3 linked regions of the Drosophila melanogaster genome follow. The protein of the gene in region 1 interacts with the protein of each later gene in a pairwise test. Each region holds a gene or a part of one and is shown on either strand. Other genes may lie near its edges.

The links.
Region 2: the proteins of ppk19 (region 1) and CG7675 interact in a two-hybrid assay, tested with the Drosophila melanogaster proteins (one large-scale study listed by BioGRID).
Region 3: the proteins of ppk19 (region 1) and CG1275 interact in a two-hybrid assay, tested with the Drosophila melanogaster proteins (one large-scale study listed by BioGRID).

The regions. Positions count from the first base shown.
Region 1 is NT_033777.3:29,670,894-29,674,723, forward strand, and holds ppk19 (pickpocket 19), read left to right. Parts: upstream 1-1,562; coding exon 1,563-2,381; intron 2,382-2,446; coding exon 2,447-2,599; intron 2,600-2,660; coding exon 2,661-2,790; intron 2,791-2,839; coding exon 2,840-3,029; intron 3,030-3,086; coding exon 3,087-3,330; downstream 3,331-3,830. Other genes in the region: Obp99a (Odorant-binding protein 99a), read left to right, coding at 823-861, 930-1,319; Bub3, read right to left, coding at 3,382-3,830. UniProt on the Drosophila melanogaster protein: Part of a complex that plays a role in tracheal liquid clearance. In both larvae and adults, contributes to the behavioral response to salt. Probable role in sodium transport.
Region 2 is NT_033777.3:18,377,569-18,382,943, reverse strand, and holds CG7675 (uncharacterized protein), read left to right. Parts: upstream 1-1,765; 5' UTR 1,766-1,912; intron 1,913-2,207; exon of another isoform or gene 2,208-2,325; intron 2,326-2,589; 5' UTR 2,590-2,590; coding exon 2,591-2,731; intron 2,732-3,579; coding exon 3,580-3,718; intron 3,719-3,976; coding exon 3,977-4,707; 3' UTR 4,708-4,820; downstream 4,821-5,375. Other genes in the region: CG14309 (uncharacterized protein), read left to right, coding at 1-995.
Region 3 is NT_037436.4:2,252,189-2,259,394, reverse strand, and holds CG1275 (uncharacterized protein), read left to right. Parts: upstream 1-1,971; 5' UTR 1,972-2,283; intron 2,284-2,582; exon of another isoform or gene 2,583-2,773; coding exon of another isoform or gene 2,774-2,789; intron 2,790-3,384; exon of another isoform or gene 3,385-3,572; 5' UTR 3,573-3,582; coding exon 3,583-3,856; intron 3,857-5,408; coding exon 5,409-5,618; intron 5,619-5,702; coding exon 5,703-6,066; intron 6,067-6,123; coding exon 6,124-6,298; 3' UTR 6,299-6,651; downstream 6,652-7,206. Other genes in the region: oxt (peptide O-xylosyltransferase), read left to right, coding at 1-66; Elp5 (elongator complex protein 5), read right to left, coding at 722-815, 878-1,523, 1,593-1,641; CG32305 (uncharacterized protein), read right to left, coding at 6,666-7,147, 7,199-7,206.

The sequences.
Region 1 (3,830 bases):
TACCAGCCATCGGCAGCTGGGTTCTCACGTTCCCACACTTACCTGTAACCGAAGCACACACAAATGCACCACTCACCTGGTTCTTGGGATGCGCACATAAACAAATCCAGAAAATAAAACGCATTCGGAGAGCTACCTGCATGGCAGTGGAAAATTTTCAGGTGCAGCTCCAACCAGACATAACAAAACTGTAGGCTTTCTTCAGAAAAAGAAATTGAATAAGAATATTGTTTTTAAGTCCCAGAAATCCATTTTCAATTTAGAAGTCTGTTTTTGTAACTTGAAACATTGAGTAAATAAATTCCTTATAGAGCACATACTTATATATGCCTTCAATAAAATGCCGAAAATAAATGTAATTGCAAGTATTTTTAATTTTCTGCACAGCGACTGTATTTTTTGCAGTGCACCCAAATATGCTGCGTTTGCTAAACGTGGGTATTAATCTGTTTTCAGCAACAACAAAAATAAGCGCGCCAATTTGCCAAAGATTAAAGGGGAGCTGTCTTATCAGCGACTGAGCCCATGGAGGTTATTAGAAGGCATCCATCCAGATTCCAGATTCTTTGTTGTCCACTTGTGCCCCCAAGCATAAAAGCCCATCACAAAAGAATCAGATGCCCAGCTTGGAGTTGAGCATAAAAATAAACTGGGGATCTACAAGCATAATCGCGCCTTGGAGACCCCTCAGGTACCAAGTCCATTCCCGAACTCAAATCGGATCCCTCGCTCTCGTATAAATAGGGGCTGCCTGGCCCTATTTCAAAACAGTCTTCGCTCGATCGCTGGAGGAATACATACATAGGTGGAAAGAAAGTGAAAATGAAGGTTTTCGTTGCCATCTGCGTGCTGATTGGACTGGTGAGTGCTCGATACAGATAAACGGCGACCAGGACCAGAATAATTCAACGCCTTCCCTTGGGTTATAGGCCTCCGCCGACTATGTGGTGAAGAACCGACACGACATGCTGGCCTACCGCGATGAGTGCGTCAAGGAGCTGGCCGTGCCCGTGGATCTGGTGGAGAAGTACCAGAAGTGGGAGTACCCCAACGACGCCAAGACCCAGTGCTACATCAAGTGCGTCTTCACCAAGTGGGGCCTGTTCGACGTCCAGAGCGGTTTCAACGTGGAGAACATCCACCAACAGCTGGTGGGCAACCACGCTGACCACAACGAGGCCTTCCACGCCTCCTTGGCCGCCTGCGTGGACAAGAACGAGCAGGGATCCAATGCCTGCGAGTGGGCCTACCGCGGAGCCACCTGTCTGCTGAAGGAGAACCTGGCCCAGATCCAGAAGAGCCTGGCCCCGAAGGCCTAGTGGCTTAGGTCCTAGTTGGACGGATGTAACGATAAGCATTAGTTTAGTTAATAAAGTAATTGATTTCCCATACAAGTTCGAGCATTCCTTCTCGATTCAGTGGGGAAAAACAGAATGTAGATATTTCTTCTTCAATGGGGGCCTCAATTTACTTATTAACAACTCCGAGTAGCAATTACATTGAGGATATGCTTTTAGGCAGCCAAACTAAACTAAAACTTTGGCCAACTACTTCCATTCGTCATGTTGCTGTACACCAAGGAACTTGTGATTCCGCGGCCGAGACCAGGACTACTGCGCTTCAGGAACAATCCGCGTGGTATTAAGTTTCGGGAAAAACTGTGCAACTCCTTTGCCCACTCCAACATCCATGGGATGCAGCACGTCTTCGGGGAGCAGCATCTCTGGCAGCGCTGCCTGTGGCTCGCCATCGTCCTGGGAGCGGTGATCACAGGATTCAGTCTGTACACCGTGCTGATGCATCGCCACAGCGAGCAGCTCCTGGTCAGCCTGATAGAGACCACCCAGTTGCCAGTGTACCACATCGACTTTCCAGCTGTGGCCGTTTGCCCCTGGAATCATTTCAACTGGCAGAGGGCTCCGTCGGCATTTATCCGCTTTCTGCCACGTCATCCGAATGCCGAGCTCCGGGAAACATTTCGCCAGCTACTCGCCAGTATGGACATTATGAACTTCTCCAACTTTAACCGGATACGGATTCTGACCAAACGAAATCTGACGGGAATTAGTTATCTAAAAATGACGGACCTGATGAACTTCATGACCTATAGATGCGATGAACTCTTCGTCGCCGATTCCTGCGTCTTCGATGAGACTCCCTACGACTGCTGCAAACTTTTCGTACGGGAGCAGACGGTGAAGGGCCAGTGCTTGGTCTTCAACTCCATGATTTCGGAGAACTCGCGCAAAAAGCACCTGATTAACCAGTTCTATCCCCACAAGCTGAGCACCGCTGGCGAGGATTCGGGCCTGAAGTTCACGATCAATGCAAGCTACTCCTTTATGAACAACATAGACGCTCTGACTCCATTTGGAATGAATGTAAGTCCCTTAGTTGCGTCACAGTTTGCTCATATTTTGTTTAATTTTATTTTTTGGTTACTAAGCTCATGATTAAGGAACCACGCCAGTGGTCCAATGAAATGATGTACCACCTGTACCCGGATACGGAGAACTTTGTTGCTGTGCATCCGCTGGTCACGGAAACCTCTCCAAATACCTATGAAATGAGTCCCAAAAAAAGACGTTGCTACTTTGATGTGTGTATAGCTTGCAACTAATAGGAAAAGATAATCATAATAATAATTCCTTACTCCATAGGATGAAAAGAACCCTACCTTCCAGAACACTTCGTTGACTTATAACCGCGAAAACTGCCTGGTGGTGTGCCTCCACTTAGTTGTGTGGAAGACCTGCCAGTGCTCGCTGCCAGCTTTTCTGCCTCCCATTGGTAATTATCGTAATTATTCTATTACATTTTAAATTTTTTTTTTTTTTAGATGGAGTTCCGGAATGTGGAATCAACGATGCACAATGCTTGGGCAACAATTCCGATATATTCACTTACGTGAAGATGGGTGATCAGGAGAAATACATTAACGACTCACGACAGGGTCACTTTTGTGATTGCCCAGACAATTGCAATTCACGGCTGTACGAAATGTCACTTAATGTGCGCAAATTGGATTAGTAAGTTCAATGTATATATTCTTAAAGAACAGATAATTAAATTCCCCTCTCTTTTAGCCCAAAAAACTCGACAGATCAATTGATAAAAGCCCAGGTTTATTATGGCCAACGTGTCATGACCAAAATCATTACGAAACTCAAGTACACCAATATAGATTTACTGGCCAACTTTGGCGGGATCATAAGTCTGTATATAGGGGCCTCCGTCATGAGTTTTATAGAGCTTTTATTTGTGCTGGGAAAACTGATGTGGGGTTTCATCAGAGATGCGCGCATAAAATTGAAAGAGTATACTAAGTAGCTTACTTTAAAAAATGATGTAAAACTTTGCCGTAAACAAGTATATATAACATTATTTCTGTTTAGTTTCCTGGTCCGTGGGATAGCGTATATAGATAGCCGGATGTGGCACTGTAGCCGGCGTCTCTGGCAGTTGGTCCAAGTAGGAGCAGCCGATGGCCAGGGCGCTGCCATCGGAGCTGAAGTTGAGCGTGGATATGGAGGTATCGTATTCGTGGAACTGACAAAGGCGCTTCTTGTTGAAGCCATCCCAAATGTTCACAATGCCATCGGATCCGCCAGTGGCGAACGTCTGATAGACATTGTGGAAACTCAAGGCATTAACGGGGTAGATCTGTTCGATATTCTGCTCCCTATTCCGGTGGCACTTGAAAGCGAACTTGCGGCGCTGCACCTCAGGATCGTGATCCAGGTACTCCACTGCCACCCGTCCCTCGATGGAGGACATCACGTAGCCTTCTTTGTTGGGGAATAGACGAATGCAGCGGGTCTGGTACTTGA
Region 2 (5,375 bases), about 11 Mb from region 1:
GGGAGGTACCCAAAAAGCGCAGGACCAAGTCCAAGAGTCAGCTAAAGATCATTCAAAGGGAGGACAAAGAGGATGAACAGGAGCAGGAACCGGAGCAAACAGAAGGGCGTCCCAAGTTGCGTCTACTGCCCACGGAATTCTTTGAGGCCCTACCAGCTCCCAAGCAGAACAAGCGATTAAATCTGGGAGCCACCTTGAACTCACTGCTATTTCCGGAACCCTTCTCCAGCAAGGCCACCATGGCCAAGGCTAGTCTGTCCCAAAAACCCAAGTCTGTTGAAGAGTCCGAGCCCGAGGAGGATGTGCAACCGGTGCCAAGTGCTAGAAGGCGTCACTCCAGGCTAGGTCACGTGGCCAACGACTTTTTGCAGGCCCAAAAAGAGCTTGGAAAGCATTTCCTCAGCCACATCAACGAGCATGAACACGAGTTTTCTCTAGGAGATGAGGGCATGCGGGAAAGTTCCCTGGAGTCGGCGAATGTCGGTAGGAAGTCCCTCATACAGGATCATTTTGAGGGAAAGAAGGCAACGCCTACTCTTCATTCGAAATTGCCTCAAAAGCCAGCCGATGAGGGTATCACTTCCTGGTGGGATTTACCAGCTATGAGAAGGCGGCGTGCCGTACTTAACACTAATTCCCTGGCTGAACTGCCCTCCAATGCCATAGACAAGGCAGATCGCGATGAGATGATGCCGCTGGGAAGGTACACCTACTACGAGTACAAGATGGATCACGAGGCAGAGAAGGATGCCAGCCAGCCCAGGGAGGAAAAGGAATCCAAGATCATGAGGATCAGCAGCAAGAATTCGCTGGCCTCTGGTCGTAGTCTGACTAAACTCTCCGAAAGCCTCGTGAGCACTATGAAATCAAAGGTATCTCGCTTCATCAACATCATATCCAACCATATGAACGAATGGTACAACACCTTAACCAAGCACTTGGAAACGGATGCGGAAACCCAACCACCCCGCCGACAAAACAGCATTGAGAAGTAGAATGACTTATATTACCATATGACCTTGTTTAAACTGCCAGCATTATAACCGAATGTAAATATATATTTATTTTCAAACATTACTGCATTCAAAGGAATTATATTTGAGCGATAATTCTAAGGGAATTATATTTTTCAAATAAAGCTATATACAGGACTAAGGCAACGAACTAGACGGGCTTAGACTAAGCTTGTGGTAGATTGTTGAGCATTCTTTATTGTACTTGTGAATATGTCATCTCTATAATAAAATGCATTGAATTGAAAAGAATGTTGATATATTTCAGTGGTATCTCGGTTAATGATATATGAAATGAAAAATAAAATAGATTTTTATCTGACATGTTTATACAATTACCCGTAGTACTTCAAATAGTAATAAAGTCTTGGTCATTAAAAAAGTTAATTACTATCCATTATTATTTTCTACATTATTTCAAGCTCATCATTCGAGCTGCATAACTAGAAAAGAAGCTTTGCGAAGCCCCCGACAGGTGGCTTTCTAGACACACTTTCTTGGAATCCACTACCCAGATCTTTCTCTTACCGCTGGTAACTATGTATTATAGTTTGGCTCCACTCTGTGCTCGCTCTTTCGCTGCGAGTGAACCGTTCATGAAGACGATCCCAAAGAGGAGCCCGGAAAGCCGCTTGGCTAACCTGTTACCATGGCTATAAGTGCAATAACAAAATCACCGCGACCACGGCAATACCAAACCGGTGGAGACGATCGCGCATTCTCCGCAGCCTCGGCTTTATAATCGGAATTCCGACTTCAGTCTCCGATTAGTCGTTCAAGGCGAAGGTTGTGGCACTAGCTCTTGGATCCACCAATTCCATTTCGCAGCGCAGATATAGTCCAAAGTGCAGGTCAGCAGAAGTTGGAATAAATTATAGATCAGCCAACAGCCAAAACAGGTGAGTTTGCACTAAAAAACTCGTCTCCGACTGGCAAAAGTTGAGGAACAAAACCCAAAAACGGGTCACTTCTAGACTTTTTCATACATCTATAGATCTTGTTTCTTTTCGAGACTGCATTGTAGGGCGTGGTTCGGTTGGGGGGGTTCTTAAATGGTGCATGCAAGCGTAACCAGAGCCAGTCTTCGAGTCTTGAGGAAAGCTCTTGGAAATCTTTGTGACGTGGACGGTGGGGGAAAAAAAAAACAAACAGAGAAGAAAAAACCAGAAACTCAAAACGACATGAAACTTCAGACTTTCTTTCTTGTTCAACCTTCTTTCGTTTGGGCTGTCAATGAACTTGGTTGAATGTTATTTTTTTCGGCGTTTCATCATAATAAGCCATAATTACGCACATGTGTGAAAGTGAAAGTGTAAGTTTTCTCAACAGTTTTCGAAATTGATTTATTGACAGTCACTGATAAACGATTTGAATTGTGAAAACCTTCGCCGACTAACCAATATCCCCAAAACCATGAAACCCCAAAACCCAAAACCAAACTCGTTTCGTTATGCCCTAAGACAATCGTCTGGCTTTGGCAGCTTCGGTTATTATATAATCTGATTTGCATGTTGACACCGATATATACGTATATGAAGATACAATATATAGTATACACACCTCGGCATATTTGTAGGATGGGTTTCATCTTCGGTTGGCTGTCGACCGAGCACTATGTGCGCGACATCTTCCTCATGACTTCAGTGGCCGCCATAGTGGCCACCCTGATGAGCATTCGGTTCTATCTGCGCATCACGGCGGGACGATGTTTCACCGAGGTAACGAACGCACCTCACCCAATCCAAAAAACCAAGTCCCATGCTCCCCAGAATCGCGACACGACTCGAATATTTCGCACTTTATATGGCTGTTGCTCCCACTTCCGCTGCGAATTCTTTTCAGATCTTGTAGATGAGCTGTCATATACATACAAATGATGGTGGGATAGTTTACTAAAACAGTATTCGGACACGACCTTAAGCTTATTAATCGCTCAAAACTTTTACAAATTTTATATATTCATATAAATGCGAACTATTCAGATAAACATTACAGATCCATAATTGAAAATGGTTCAGCTTACCGCTCTATAGAAAACTACATATATCACTATCTGGAAAAACCCCATATAATTAAAACGATTCTGTAGCATTCCAAGCATTCCGACTATGGAAATCTTTTAACTATATATGAAATCACCACTAGGAAAACTTAACGTGTTTCAATCTTGTTATTACATTGGTCAGTTGTGACGCGTCGACTTAATTACAGATTAAATTAGATACCTTCTGAGAGGCGAGGTACGTCACATCTCTGAGCTACGATTACCACCTGACCGAACATTGTTCGTATCCCACAAAACATCTAAGCTTCTGGGTATCTCGGTTACAATCTGTGAGATCGCTTACCTCTGATTCACAGAAAGCTCTCAGCACTCGAATGGCAATTAAGCGACCCGTTAATGGGTCTGAAAACTAAGATAGCTTCCGTTCCAGACGAACTGCGATTACTGTGACTGTGAACAAGCGCCAACTAATTAGTATTGTAAACATATTTTCGAACCGCCCTCGTCCAATTTTCGATTGCAGCGCCGTATTAAATGATTAACCTTCGACATTGATTACAGACAAAGATGGAGGGCAAGACAGTCATTATCACAGGCGCCAACAGCGGAATTGGCAAGGAGACGGCCAAGGATCTGGCTGGACGTGGAGCCCGCATCATCATGGCCTGCAGGAACCTGGAGACTGCCAATGCAGTGAAGGGTAAGTGGACCAAGACAATGCCTATGAGGTTATGCCAAGGATCTGGCAGGACATGCAACACGGTCAAATTCCGATAACTGGTCTCATCCAGTTGATTATAGACTCTGGCAAAAACTGCTTACTACCAATGATCTTTTTTTATTAAATATTTACGTTGTAATTACTTTAAAGAAAGTATCTTATAATATGTTGGCGTTGCATTAACCATGTTTTTTTTTACATAACCGAATTTTGTAATTTATTGTTGATTTCCCACAGATGAGATCGTCAAGGAGACGAAGAACAACAAGATCCTAGTCAAGAAACTGGATCTGGGCTCCCAGAAGTCCGTCCGTGAGTTCGCCGCTGACATTGTGAAGACCGAGCCCAAGATCGATGTGCTTATCCACAATGCCGGCATGGCTCTGGCCTTCCGCGGACAGACGAGTGAGGATGGCGTGGAGCTGACCATGGCCACCAATCACTATGGACCCTTCCTGCTGACGCATCTGCTCATCGATGTACTAAAGAAGAGCGCGCCGGCTCGCATAGTCATCGTAGCCTCGGAGCTGTACCGCCTGTCGTCGGTTAACCTGGCCAAGCTCAATCCCATCGGCACTTTCCCGGCTGCCTACTTATACTATGTGTCCAAGTTTGCGAACATCTACTTTGCCCGGGAGCTGGCCAAGCGGCTGGAGGGCACCAAGGTTACAGTGAATTTCCTGCATCCCGGCATGATCGACTCGGGCATTTGGCGTAACGTTCCCTTCCCCCTCAACTTGCCCATGATGGCCATCACCAAGGGATTCTTCAAGACCACCAAGGCCGGCGCCCAGACCACTATCTATTTGGCCACATCCAATGAGGTGGCCAATGTGTCTGGAAAGTACTTCATGGACTGCAAGGAGGCCACCCTTAATGCTGCTGCCCTCGATGAGGAGAAGGGTCTCAAGATCTGGGAGGAGTCCGTGAAGATTGTCAAGCTTACGCCCCAGGATCCCAAAATCTAGACGGGTGTCTGCGGCTGAGAGCCAACGCACAATTTACTGATTTACTTTTCTTGTTTTTAAGGGGGAGTTTACTGTAGCCTAAGTTTTCTCAATAAAAATGATTTTGTATAATTAAATGTGGCTCGTTTTCAATATGATATATTTGCTGTCAGAAAAAAAAGCACATCAAATTTCTGACTATATATAATATATTACAAAGATCTTGGTTGTTATATCGGTTGCTCGTGAGTAAAAGGGTATACTAGAATCAAGACTAGAATATAGTCTGGATCAAGATCAATAGCCGAGTCGATCTGGCCATGTTCCTCTGTCCGTCTGAATGTCGAGATCTCAGGAACTTTAAAAGCTAGAAGGTTGTGATGCAGCATACAGATTCTAGATACATAGACACAGCGCATTCACACTAACTGAGCAACGGGTATCTGTTAGTCGGGGAACTCGACTTCTTATTGGCACAGGATTTCGGCTTGGATTTGCAAGGGGACCGTTTTTGTATTACATGTAATATATATTGACAGTCACTCGATAAATCTTTTGCTAGGTAACTAGATATGACAATTCTGACAAGTTTTGAACTTTTCAACTTATTGCTTCTCGTTATTTATTTTGTAGCTGCAGCTTCTTAGTCAAATGATCTTTAAAAAAGTTCTTCTAGGTATTGAGATATG
Region 3 (7,206 bases), on another chromosome or scaffold:
AGCGATGCGCCCTGGAGCTCACTGGCACCCGACCCCAAGAGCGATGTGGATGCCCTGCTCAAATGAGCCATTGCCATGCATTAATTTGTTATTAATTCTCTAGTGTAAATACTCGCCAAGATTTAGATGTCGAACCGCAATTAACGATTTTTTGATAGCTCCTTTTTCTTCTCGATGTTTTCGTATAGATTGTTGTGATAATGTGAACTTTTAAGCGCCATTTTGACCGGAAGCGGAACTCCGCCGCTCCAATTGTATTTGATTTTCATATCAATAGAGCATAGTAGCACTTTGGAACTAGTTAAGTTAGTTAGGTTGAACGCCTTGTAAATACGCCACGCACTGGACACCAAAAGATCGCATTGCAGCCAAATATCGTGGAGGTAATCGAGAGTTAACTGTACATAAGGTTAGCTAGATGAAATTCCTTAACTAAGTCATAAGCTAGGGCACCACCAGATAGCAATTGAATCAGTTGTATGTATTCACAAGTTTCTTCGATTTTTTGATTCACATATCAAGTTATCCAAAATAAATGAGCAATTCTACGTGTACTAAGTGGTCGTTCAAAGATTCATTCTGCTCCTCTGGCGAGGTTGAACACACCCCTAGGCGGAACTTTGGGGCCGGAATTCCAGGTATTTTATGGTTTTAGTAGGTTAGACTTAAGGAGACTTAAAGCCAAGGCTATTTGTACTGCCGTTCGCTGCTGGCGGGCAGCCTAGATGCACAGATCCTCGTCCGGATCCTCCTCGTCGAAATCGTCGTCGGCATCGGGCGTGTATATTATGTTTCCCTCAGACGGCTCGGATGTGCTATCATATATACGAACATATCAATAAGGAGATGTAACGCATAGAGAATGGTTACCACTCACCGTTCGTATGGCAGGGTGAGTGCATTGCGGGCCAACACTTCATCCTCGTCAAGCTCGATTTTGAAGGTGCTGCTGGCCGGCTCTGTGGTCTGCTCCGCCTCGGGCGAGGGCTGCTTGGGGGAGGCACCTGCAGGCAGTCCTCCGTCCAGCGGCGTCACCTTGAACTGGGTTTTGCTGACTTCGCAGGAGTAGCGCCTGTTGGACACCCCTCCGCCCGGCTTGCGTGATATCAGCGAGAGTAGTTTGTCCGATTCCAGTCGGAGGACCAGCTCGGCCAGGTACTCGCAGCCAGCCAGGATGTAGTCGGCATGCGGATCCTGCAGGTGCTGCGGGGAGGCCCAAAGGAAAACCCGACGCACATTGTCCGAGCGGCGTAGGCGGTTGAGGAAGCCAAATATGAAAGCAGGCGTCTGGTAGCACAGCAGGTCTGCCAATGTTGGCAGGATGACGTTAAAGCCAGTGGAGTTGGAATCCGTAGTACTCCCAGTGTTGTTGTTGGCGTACTTGTCGATCAGTGCCTCGAAGGTGGCCACGTGCTTAAGGCTGACGCCGGTGGGCAGGGCCTTGATGGTATCCGCCCCCTGTCCCTGCTCGTGCAGCAGACTGCCGATGAACTTGGGGGCAATGCGCTCCCGATTTAGCTCATCTGTGGATGAGGCGGGAGATTGGTGGTCGCATTATTTGGCAGACGATGGGGTAGTCAGTGTGTACTCACCTATTACGAGGACCACTTTCTGCTTGGTCACCACCAGGTTGGAGAGCATTTTGTTAGCATTTATTGTGGGACTACCTAAATATTATTTTAAATTGAAGCTTTTTGTTGGAGCTGCCAGTGCTGCCGAGCTAAAGGCGTTAGCGTGTTTCAGTCGTGCTCAATGGGCCACACTGGCGGCATAAGGGAATCCAGGGTCTCGAAGTAAATGTTTTCCAAGCTCTAGTTAAATATGAATATAAAGTTTGTAAATTTTTAAAATTAAAACTCACACAGTCAGTACTTTCTATCATCATGTGAACGTATATTAAATGCACACTATTTTTTCAGCACACGCAGCTACAGTATGATTCTCGCATCCCTGGTTGTCCCGCTTTTTTCCAAATGAGTAAACAGAAAATCGAAGCGGTTAACAGATCGAGTTACAGTTTAAAACCCTTTGATAGTGAAAGTTTGACCGTGTCCTTGACTTGCTGTACTAAATTAAGTATCAATGAATGTGCCGCTTTAAGTTTAACTTGTTAATAATAATGCTGACGTAGTAAATTCGCACAGCATTCCGCTCTCTTATGCTGCCAAATTATCTCTTTGTGTTTGTGCCGTTTCTGTTTGTGTTCTTGCCTCTTCCGTTGAAGACATTTTGGAAATATTCCAAACAAAACACATTATTGGATTACTGATTCATTTCAAATCTGTAAGTTTACCTGTTTCTATTTCAACTACGTCTTTAAATGTAGTTTACAAACAGTTATAATTTGGTTGTGGCTTTCCATTAATATAATATCCAACAAGTGGTTTTTCTACAGTGGTGTGAGCCCGAAAGTTTGTTTGCATGTGTGCTTCGGCGTTTACAGTTCTGAGCTTCCAACGAAAAGCTCGTGGAAATGCCAAATGAAATGGCCAAGTGCGGCAGAGTGGGCGGGGCTTTAGGGCTTTCACGCCCACGCAGCCTGTGCAGAATTTCCACGGCTTTTCCTCCATATGGAAGGCCCAGCTTCCTGCATTTTAAGCAGTTTGTTCAACAAGTAGAGTAAAGTGCGTGGCAGTAGCCACGAAAATCAGAAGTAATCGCGAAAAACCCATCGTCATCGCTTTAAAGTCACTAATTGCTGCTAAAGATAAGAGCAGGCGGTATTGAAACAGGCATTATCTGAGCAGAGTGAAGCATCAATCAAGTATACGCCATGTTGTTCTCACTGGGTGAGTTGAAGTGCACATACAGTCATTATTGCACAGCATGAACTTAAGCTCTTTAAGAGGGAAAGCTACTTGTTGTCCTTAAAGGTTTCACTTTACTGTAGATGTACTTTCGAAACTAAGAACAATATTGAAATAGTTGTTACTAACAAATTTTACCCAAAAACTTTTTGTAAACCCTTTTACGTTTTGGATTCCACTCCTTCTGGCAAAAAGTAGTTCCAATTGAAGCAGTTCCACTGCACCATCCCATTACTATGCACAGAACATCAAAGTCAAAGTCGCAATTGAAATGCCGCGCAGTGACAATGGTTTGAATAGATCCGAGGAATGCGAAATGCAAATAATCATCAATGCACCCCCTTCCCAACCAGAAGCGATCGACCTGGTCCGGCATACTAACCAGCATTCGTTGGCACCCAAAGCCAAAGGCAAAGTCAAAAGCAAACCCAACCCCACTGGAATCCTATCCGCATCGAGAACCAAACAATTATCCACACCGAAATGAGCAATATGTGTGTGCGATGTCGCATGCGAGAGATTTGCGAGCGGAAAAAGCTTTTCCTAACCATCGCCGGGCGGCGGCTGGAAAACTTTAAATTCAGTTGCGCATTGCACGCCGAAGTGTTCGGTTGTATTAACGGGGTGTCGTGCGGATTAGTTACTAGTAGTTAGTTACTAGCATTTACCAGTGTTTTTGTGCTGTGTCTTAGGGCAATTAACACCGTCCATTATACGTTGCATGTCTTTTTGTGGTTGAACCATTGGTGAATTATTGATTTAAAGTGCACAGACCATGTCGAAGGACGCGGACGTGGAGCAGGCGACCAAGCCGGAGAGCGGAGTTGTCCAGGTGGAGCCAGCGATTCCGGAGCAGCCACAGGCCGCCGTTCCGACCACCATCTCCACGGCGACCACAGTGATCGCGGTGACTAATGGGGAAAAGCCAGCGGCAGCGACACCAGCAACAACTGCAACACCTGCGACAGCAGAACAAGTGCAACCTGCAACAACCATCGCTGGCATTGAGTTGGCCACTCCAACGGCGGCGGCAACTTCACCACCAACAGGTAGACTGTGCATGGCATTGGATTTTGGCTGCAAGTTTGATTAGTGCCAAGTAAAATAAACCAACAAGCCGAGTGTTTAGTTATAGTAAAAGTTAAAGCAAAACGCACCGAAAGACAGACTGCAGCCGTCCCCTTTCCCCGCCGCGGTTTTCACCATCACCATCGGCATCACGATCCGCGATCAGCAAGCAGCCACTAGTAACCAGTAACCAGTAACCAGCTGAATTTCACTTTGGTTTTCCAGACTTTATTTATTTTGCTCCGCTGTCTTCGGACTTGTACGCTTTTCCAAATTCATCCAAAGTCATCTGCCCGGGTTTTACTTTCGGTCTTTTGGTGCGCCTATGTGGATTGTTTATTTCAAATTTTGCGCACGATCTGCTGCAACGCTTTGCTGGTCAGCGTCTTTGGCACGCCCACTTAACCCTAATAATTAACAGTCATAGTCACAGCTAATGTGCCAATTAATTTCACTCGGAACCCAGAGCTGCGTCGAAATGGAGCACTCCAACTGGAGCCCATTGAGTAACCGGGGACGCGTGGCTGCTGCCAGTTACCAGCATTTATAATTGCGATTGCCAGCTACAAGTGTCTCCGGCGCACTTATCAGCCAATTTACAAGCCAACACTTGGCAGTTTGGCTCATTTGCTTATTATTCGCCCGAGTCGAAATTAAAACACCATTTGCATACCAAACGCCAATTAGGGCGGCTGATAGCGGCCCTTATCGAGTGCATCTGCACCTACAAGTTTACTAGCCTTTTAAACTATCTTAGTCAAGTCCAATCTATACTATACCAAACTATGAACACGGCTACTTTCACTACCCGTACGTTCCGTAAAATGAATCGAACTTTAATTTATTTAATGTATCATGCTGCAACATCAAGCACGAGGAACTTGTACGATGCTATTTAAAGCGATTTAATATCAGATGTTCGGACTATCTGGAGAACATACTGATAAGGCGACAGATAAAGTGGGCAGAACGCTCTGGCGTTGAAAATTAATGTTGGGTAAACAAGCGCAAATGTTTACGCATGAATTAGCCAAATTACGCCTGGTGAGTGGCCGGCGAAAGGGGTCGTGGGTGTGTCCCAGTGCCTGGGAACAGGCCGTTCCCATTAACTCAGGGCCCAGTCGATATGATGAGATCTTGTTTATCGCAGTATCGGATGGCTGGCGGCAAAGGAACTGTTTGTTTACCCAACGAGTGCAGCTGCCATCGAAGCGGATCAGATGTACAACTGTTAAAGTGGGTTTTTGGGAAGCCTATTGGCTCCCTAAACTTCTGGTCGCATGTTATCAGCAAGTGCTTGGGGGTTATTTTAATCTGCGGGCAGGTGGAACATGTAATTGAATCATGTTTACGTAGCAGAGGCTATAAACCAAAAGTATGGAAAATATAAACGAGTGCTTGAGATCCCCTTCCCCTTTCGATGCCCCGATATCTCTACCCTTGAATGAGTTATGCGATTAGATCGCCAATGCGTGCTGTGCGTAAAATGGCCTCTATTTTTAGCTCATCCCCAGCTTTTATTGGATTTTTCAGGCAGCGGCAAGGCCAACATGGATCCAGCGCTGATCAACTTTAAGGTGCTCTATGTGCTCACCCAGCTGTGCGGCCTGACCATGATCGTCCTGGTGGCCACCTGGATTGGCCAGCACTTCGGCGGTCTGGCCGGCACCTCAAATCCCGGCGTGGAGTTCAACTGGCATCCGCTGTTCATGACCATTGGCTTCATTTACCTGTATGGCAACTGTGAGTAAATGCAGCGGAAGAGGTGCCACGCCACTCCCATTGACTAGCTTCGAAATGGTAATCCAACTCAATTCAATCCCACAGCCATTCTGATCTATCGTGGTTTCCGCACCACGCGCAAGAAGACTCTGAAGCTTACCCACGCCGGCATCCACATGGGTGCATTCATTCTGACGGTGATTGCCCTGAAGACGGTCTTCGATTCCCACAACTTGGCCAATCCGCCCATTCCCAACATGTACTCCCTGCACTCTTGGCTGGGGCTCTCCGCGGTGATCGTCTTCTCGCTGCAGTATGTGGCCGGATTTGTGGCCTTTTTGGCGCCGGGGTTGAGGGAGAACTACAGGATCGCCATGATGCCGCTGCACATCTACTTCGGACTCTTTGGATTCGTTCTGGCTATTGCTAGTGCCCTGATGGGCATAACCGAGAAGGCCATCTTCGCCATGTAGGTGTATATGCATTCTAGATCGATCACTTGACTAATCCATGACGACATTTCTAGCAAAACTCCGGCTTACTCCACTCTTCCACCGGCTGGTGTGTTGGCCAATGTGATTGGAGTAATGTACGTGGTCTTCGGGGCGCTGGTTGTCTACCTAGCCACTGAGCCCTCCTACAAGCGGAAGCCCATTCCCGAGGACACGGCTCTGCTGAACTCCAGTTCTGTCAACGAGTAAGGGCTATGCCCATGCCCCAAATCAACTGCAATGCTTACTTAAGCTAAAAACTGTGCACAAAACCAAACGAAACCGAACCTGATCACACGGATGGTGCTTTCTTAGTGATGGAGATGGAGATTCGTCAAGATGAGTGTATTATCTGTAGCATGTACATAACCTAACGACTATGTATGACTCTGAATTATGAACATACGTATACTTTGGTCACCAGTTGTGCAATGATTTCAGCGAGTGCTCAAATCATAACGTATTTAACCTCAAGAAAAACATTTGCTTTGAACTGTACGAATACATCTATATATGTGTGTTATATATGCTTAAATAAATATATATATATATATATATCTATTAAAATAAATTTAAATTAATGAAGGTTCCCGGCCAGAAAGATGCCTCCCTTTTGGCGCTCATGTATCGAGACCTCCAGTTCATCGCCTTCAGATACATTTTCCTCGAGCTCTCCTTCAGCCTCCTCTTCATCCGAAGTGGAAGACTTTGGGGGCACGAAGCTCGGGGTGAATGACAGTGAAAGAGTGTCGATGACCCAGCTTTTTGAGTCCTTCATACTCATGCTCACTTGGTCGTGATCTTGGAATGTGAGATCCGGGTCTACGACCACCAGGTAGGTGGGCACCTTGCCCACTCCCTTTACCTCCGTGTGCCCTCGGTAGTTGCAGCGGATGTTAAATTGTCGCAGCACCTTTGCCGTGTGCCGAGTTACTTGGATGTTGTCCAGCAATCCAGTGGAGGACATCCGGGAGGCCATATTGACGGTATGACCCCAGATATCATAGTGTGGTTTCGAGAGTCCAACAACGCCGGCCATCACGGATCCATGGGAGATGCCTTAGATATCATTGGATGGATTAGGATAACGGTGAAGGTAATGCAGCCCACCTATCTTC